2 linked regions of the Saccharomyces cerevisiae S288C genome follow. The protein of the gene in region 1 interacts with the protein of each later gene in a pairwise test. Each region holds a gene or a part of one and is shown on either strand. Other genes may lie near its edges. The genes, in order: YAP7 and STB2.

Region 1 (3,507 bases):
AGCCCAACTATCCTTTATCTTTGAGATTTTATTCTACTGATAAGTCGAAAAGTGTTACGAAGCCCGTAGCTCCAACATCCACCGATGCTCCTGCCAAGCCCAAGGAGACGCTTATGGTCAAAGTGAAGCACGCCTTGAAACATTATGCTAATGGGACGAAACTTTTGGGTTACGAAATCAAAGTTTCTACTAAGCTTTTGATTAAATTTGCTCAGGGTTACGAGTTGTCTAGAAGAGAGAGGAACCAATTGAGGAGGACAATGGGCGATGTGTTTAGGTTGATCCCTTTTTCAGCGTTCCTTATTATTCCATTCGCCGAACTATTTTTGCCTTTCGCTTTGAAACTCTTCCCCAACTTACTACCCTCCACTTACGAATCCGGCAAGGATAAGCAAGCCAAGAGAAATAAGCTCATCGAGATCAGAAAAAAGACATCCGAATTCTTGCATGAGACTTTGGAAGAATCCAATTTGATCACTTACAACACCATTGAAAATGCAGAGAAGAAGCAAAAATTTTTGAATTTTTTCCGGAAGCTTTATTCTGCCAAGGAAGGTAAGATTATGACTTTCCAACACGATGAAATAAGCGCCATTGCGCAAATGTTCAAAAACGATAGCGTTTTGGATAACTTGTCAAGACCACAATTGGCAGCAATGTCGAAGTTTATGTCACTAAGGCCATTTGGTAACGATAACATGCTTCGTTACCAAATTCGTTCCAAACTAAAGGATATAATGAACGACGATAAAACTATTGACTACGAAGGCGTTGAAAGTTTATCGCAAGAAGAGCTGTATCAAGCTTGTGTGTCTCGTGGTATGAAAGCGTACGGTGTATCCAAGGAGGACTTGGTCGATAATCTAAAAGTTTGGCTAGAATTGAGACTGAGACAAAAAATCCCATCCGTCTTGATGGTTTTGAGTTCCACGTTCACGTTTGGAGGACTTCCAAAGGAGAACTATTCAAAGGCATTCTCGCCACTAGCTGAAAAAAAAGAAACAAAAAGCAAATATGACGACCTTTTGGATCTGTACTACGACGGTATATTACAAGTGCTAAGTTCCATTCCAGATCCCGTTTACAACGTCGCAAAACTAGATGTATCTGAATCGAAATCATCCGCTGCTGAAACTGAAGCTGAAAAGCAAGTTGCTGAAAAGAAGATAAAGACGGAAGAAAAACCCGAGGAAACTGCTATACCGAAGGAAGAAGCCACCGCAAAAGAGTCTGTTATAGCTACCACCGCTTCTGCGGTTACTCCTAAACTAGTCGTAGTTAATGAAAAGGCAGAAACAGCGAAGACAGAGGAAATATCTCAGGAAAAAGAGAACGCAGAGCCTACCGACTCTGCGGAAGCCACGGAAGCTGAAGAAAAGAAGACATCCGACGATAACGAGTTCAAATTGAACGTTTTGAAGGAGCAAGAAGAACTAATAAAGAAGGAGGAAGAGGAAGCTAAGCAAAGAGCTTCGAGAGAGCATGTGCCAGATGATATCAACCTAGATGAAGAGGAAGAAGCAAAATCTGTACCTCCCATTCCGGCCGATCAAGCTGCGAAGACTTTTGTCATTAAGAAAGATTGATATTAGATCAAAGCCTAAGAAAAAAACTAAAAAAAACTAAAAAAAAAAAGTCAATCGGTTCTCTTTTCTCTGACAACAATGGCAAAAGATCAAAGAGAAGCGTACGTCACGGCAAAACCAGCGACCCTTCAAAACTAAATTATTATGCATGTATATAATAGACACCCTATCTAAACTACCGCCTTATTTTTTTTTTTATACAGGAGCAAAGTGTCTTTTTTGTGATGGCCACGAGGGTCCTTTCACTCATGACTCCTTAATCAGCATCTTATGAGCTGGATTTTCATATATCGGCGATTTTTTTCATCGGTAATGCACGCAGTAAAGCTGCTCGCTCGAGAAAAATTAGTAATATATGGAAGAAGAAGCATAAGCATAAAAGAGAAAATCCGCTGCCCCACCGTAGAAAGCAAACAAGGCTATTGGTTATTCCTCTTTTCACCTGTACTTCAATCTGTAGCACATCATCATAAGAGGCTTGAAAGTTGCTCAAGAACAGTTTCAACGGTTTTTTCTTTTGAAATTTGAAAATTGCTCTTCGTTTGTTGAGCCGTTATCAAGGAAGTAAATCATCAATTAAAGAATATAGAAAGGCACAAAATTTTGTCATTTACGCACACTTTCAATGGATCATGAGACAACGAAGGTCTGTAGTAGCAGTTAGCGTAAAGCCCAAAGGCTTCAAATTGGGGCATAAACAGGGTTCCATGTCTACGACGTCTCCACCTCCATCCTCACCAGATGGAAATGTGAGTACATCAGGACCGTCAGCTATTAAGTTATCCAAGAATTGGGAGTTACCACAGCGCCTAAAACCGGGCCGCAAACCGAAATCCAAGCGCGGGGATGCATCAGCTAATAATGATGGATCGTCCAAGATAAAGAAGGTTCAAACTTCCAACCAGAAAGACCAAATGACCACAAAAGATCATGAGAACGAAGGCGCAAAAGGTCATGAGGGGAAATCTGATGATGAAGGCAACGGAAGTGGTGATGAAAACGGTGTCGATAGCGTGGAAAAGCGAAGGAGGCAAAATAGAGATGCGCAAAGAGCATATAGGGAACGCAGAACAACAAGAATCCAGGTTCTGGAAGAGAAGGTTGAGATGCTACACAATTTGGTCGATGATTGGCAAAGGAAATATAAACTGCTGGAATCTGAGTTTTCCGATACAAAGGAAAACTTGCAAAAATCAATAGCATTAAACAACGAATTGCAAAAAGCCTTGCCTTTGATTGTTAATACTCCATTTCAACAGCAGCCAGAAAACCCGCCAGACAATCCTATTTCGATATTAGAAATGGTAGAAAACTTTAAACCAATCGGCGCTGTCAGTTTAAAAAAAGGAAAGCTGAAGGCCCATTGTTAACATCTCATGTGCCCGCGGTATTAACAGACCAGTCTTTGTCTGAGATTGATATAGCCAACGATTATCAATATCTGAGCGGCAGACAGTTTAGTTCAACGAATTCATCGCTTGATGGCCATATTAATTCACCTCTGTCTTCATGCAGCAGCAGTATCAATGCATGTGCAGGCAGTGGCAACAAAAAAATAAAATGTTGTAGGAATAAAGATGCCATGAAACCAGTAACATGTTGCAACCAAAAGAATAACATAATGCCATCCTTAGTCCCCGTTTGCTGTTCAGAAAAGAAAATAGAATCCGATGCTAAGAAATCAATATCGAAATGCTGTGGAGACAAAGAAATCTACGATAGCGAGAATAGACCGATCACTAAAGAGGATGGGTCATGGATACCTGGAAGCTGCAAGCAATGTAGATCAGACCCCCATAGTAGGAATTTTTGTCAATCACTTTCGAATAAATGTAGTTCAAGCTCTTTCTCTTCCAACAGTGCGTTGTCACCGGATCTAAATGAACAACAAACTGACGTAAATTACAATTCAATCAAGCTA
Region 2 (3,931 bases), on another chromosome or scaffold:
TTGATTTCTTTATATGTTGCGATACCGTATGCATCCACAATCGATTGGAAGGCCTGAGTGAACTTGTTGGTTCTATGGTATGTAGGTGGTAATTTATTGGTTAGGATCACATTAAAGACGGTACTGTATTCAGAACCCAACGTTTCAATGTAATCCTTCAATGAGTCTTGTAAATGGATCAATTCTGTGGAAGGCACCCAACCTTCGGCTATTAGACCCTGTGATTCTTGTTGGAACTTGTTCAATGTGGTATAAACATATTTTTCCCTTTTCGTCATGGCGGACCATACTGGCAGCTGGTCATGTATAACGAGCAGTTCTGTGTGTAAAGTTTGTTCGGTAGTATCCAGGATTCTTTGCAAGTCGTCTATTTGACGGTTTAAGGTGTCAACTAATTCACTAGAACGAGTATTCAGGGAGACTATTTTACCATTTAAGGAATCTATGACACGCTTAACCTTCTTGAGCAATGTTTCACCATGAGTAAAAATAATAAAGCAGTCCTTTTCAACCTTTTCTTTACCTTCCAACAATGGCTCCTCTATTGGAAAATTCTGAAAGATCAAATTACCACGCAATAACCTCCACAGGATTCTGTTCAATATATCTACTTTTGTTCTTCTGATAGAGCCTGTTATCATGTATCTATGCTGGTATCCCTGCTCTAAAAAGCTTAGATCTTCGACTGATTGGTTTCTAGTGAGGTCATTCCCTAGAGCGCCCCGGTCCTGTGGTGTTTCGTCGTCAAAAGAAAAAGCATCGCTTAATGTTTCACTGATATCATCAGGGGTCATTCTAAACTCGTCAACATCCCTTTCTTCTTGTTCAATCTCGGGGTTTGTAGCTCTTCCAGCAATCCCAGGATTGACTTCAATAAATTTTGAGCATTCGAATATTACCTGCCTTTGCTCTAAAAGATCGTTCAGTTTACTTCTAAGGCTATCTAAAGATTCATCTAATTGCCTTGCACGGGATTCGCAATCAGTAATTTCCTTCACCATGTCATTAACATTTTCCAACGATAGTGGTTCCATGGTATTGATGAGATCCGCCATATCGGGTTGGGCAATGTCGTTTCCTTCATCATCGATATGTAAAATATACTTCCAGGTCTCTGCGGCGTGCTTTTCAACTACCTCATTCAAGAAGCCTACCATCCTTTCCACTTCATCGAAACGCCTCAACTGGTTAACATAACCTCTTTGAAAGGCAGTTAAATCTTTATTGAGATCCATCACCATAAAGACACTCATTTTCCCTAATAAGAAAGTTACCTCTCTTATGACTTCCAACGGTATGTACAGTTGGACGTACGTCATGTCTGCTGACCGGAATATAGCCTCTTCTTGATTCATAATTATTCATATAACTCGAGGAATTTTAGAGAATAAGAATGCGTCTGTTGCGAATTATGATATGCACCTTAATGTAAGCCTCGAGGTCACGAGGATATTATTTGCAAGCAAAAGCAAAAGCGAGTACAAAACTGTAAGCAAAACGAAATAAAAAGAGTGTGCTACTATTCTATTATTGTCAACACTGAACTTCCAATCACCTTCGTGGGCCTATGTCTTTTCTTAACTACCTATGCAGTTGACTACATAAACAAAAATGGCAAAAAAGGACACCTCTATTTTGAGAAACAAAAATAAGCCCCGCTACCCGCATAACAGGAAATAGAAGCTATAATGATCTGAGAATGATATTTAGGGGAGGTAATGAACTAGACCCTGGAAGAAGCACCTATTAATAAATATGTATGGTTATGGCGGATACTATTGCCACAGGAGACAAAACTAGCCAGTTTGATGGAAAACATATGCAGGATTTAGAAAGAATTTACTCCACTAGGGATACACTCGATGATAATTTCTTTGGAGAACGTGGACAAAAAGATGCAAACGGTGATTATTACGATGAATTAAACAATGAGGAAACCAATTACAGTGGAAGTAGTTACTATGGTCACTCAGATGATTCGGAAGTGGTTGGGTTGATAAAGAATGATACTGTGAGCCAGCTCCCGCCTCTCGACAGTTTTATATTCCCAGATTCTAGGGCTTTGTTCTTGTTAGATTTAGGCAACTATGCTGATTTAACTTATGAAGAAATTATCGTACACGGGTTTGAAATATATATTGTGGAGCAATGGGTAGCATGTAGGAATTTGTCAACATTGATTACGTCATATACAGGAAACTCTCAGGATACAATATCGGGAGTCAGAGTCGTTTTGCCAAAGGATACGAGTATGTGGCCAGGGAGATTTAGACTGTATTTTGAAGAATTAATGGAATTTGCGCGGCCAAAATTTACACCAAAGGGCACTCTATTTATTACCAATCTTTCGGGTGTGTCCTTTGGCTTGAATCTGTTGCATGTGGAATGTGGTGACTTGAGAACAATTTGGAAGGATTTCGAGGTTAATTTTGATCTGAAAAACCTGCATTGTGGTGGAAGATCGGCAAATCTGTTATGCCCTCCAACTATGGCATCACTTGATAAGTTTTCACAACTGTTCAAAATCCCTACAAATGGTTTTATTGCACAGTATCCCCAAATGATTCAGCAGCAGCAACCGCGTTTGCCTGAGGAAGAATACAAGACGGTTGGAAATTCAAAGTGTCGAAATACCGATAGTAAATCACCAGTCGTGGAGATGGTAACTTTAATTCAAATTTCGTTGAGTTATTTCAATTTGTTATCTAAGAACTACCAGACGGATGGTCTTTTGTGTGAAGACACCAAGCGAGCTATAGATGAATGGTGGGAAACTTACGGGAAACTGTACCTTGGTACAGAAAAGCCAAGGAATGAATGCACACTGGGTCCGACGACAGTAGCTGGCCTAATTAGTTTGATCCTTTGTTGCTATTTCAAGTTGATGATAGAAAATTGCATTTCCTCTAAGGATCCCTTTGATGAAGCTGGTTTCTTCCAAGGTATTTATAATTTCCAAAAAAAGCATGGCCTCAATAAAAGAAAATCTAGAGTTTATTTAGACCCAAGAACGTTAGAGAAACTCTTTGAAGTGACAGCGAAAGTTTCTAGCAAAGACATTTTTAAACTGAAGAAAATGGTGACATCAACGGTACAGGACATCATAGGAAAGGGAAATCCCATCAACCTGTCACACAAAATTCTTACAACAGATCTAGATACACTTATTCATAATATTCATGGAGGCTCTGTAGGACTACTATGGAAAGGTAAGGGACACCCAAGGAAATGCTGTACGGATATTTCTAATGAAGAATTTTTGAAATTTAACTACCAGAGAGGCGATCCTGATGGGCAGATAAGAGAAAGGGAAATGCTACTAGAAAAATTTCGTTTGGAAAGAATCGCATACGCTCAAAAGCACGCCTCCAAAAAGGTTAGTTCTTCCAGTCTTGATACATCTGAAGACATAGGGAGGACCAATGCTATGCCCTCATCTGCAACAGTGTCATCAATGTTTCCAAACTACGATAATACCAAATATGCATATAATTTTGGCATCAACAAATTATATCAAGGAGAATACTACCGAAGAAATTCGTTTCCCTATTGTAAAGATCGCACACACGACAACATTTATGAAGATCTTTCAGAGCTGAAGGAAAAGTCATCTCGTTTGTATAGATGCAACTCTTCTTCTGCTGTACAGAATATTGTGGAAAAATGGGATTTACCATTTGATCCATCTGTTGTTCGAATAGCTAGAGATTTGTTACGAATGAAATACGACATCCAAGCGCAGCAACACATACAAGAAATGGATGAGCATTATATGGGTAAATTAAATAAGGAGGGAACTGTTGGTCAGTACTCTAAATTCAACGAAAGATATAAAAGACTGCAAGAACTATATAAGAAGTATTCAGATGGTGCAAAAGTGTTTGAAGGGAGATTTGAAGACATTGACAATAAGCAACAACTTCTTCTCCAT

The links.
Region 2: the proteins of YAP7 (region 1) and STB2 interact in a two-hybrid assay, tested with the Saccharomyces cerevisiae proteins (one large-scale study listed by BioGRID).

What each region holds. Positions count from the first base shown.
Region 1 is NC_001147.6:270,082-273,588, reverse strand, and holds YAP7 (Yap7p), read left to right. Parts: upstream 1-2,218; coding exon 2,219-2,956; downstream 2,957-3,507. Other genes in the region: ribosome-binding protein MDM38, read left to right, coding at 1-1,586; YOL029C (uncharacterized protein), read left to right, coding at 3,169-3,507. UniProt on the Saccharomyces cerevisiae protein: Probable transcription activator linked to cell cycle that induces transcription activation of genes in the environmental stress response and metabolism control pathways, like the closely related YAP5.
Region 2 is NC_001145.3:380,727-384,657, reverse strand, and holds the start of STB2 (Stb2p), read left to right. Parts: upstream 1-1,759; coding exon 1,760-3,931. Other genes in the region: STV1 (H(+)-transporting V0 sector ATPase subunit a), read right to left, coding at 1-1,355.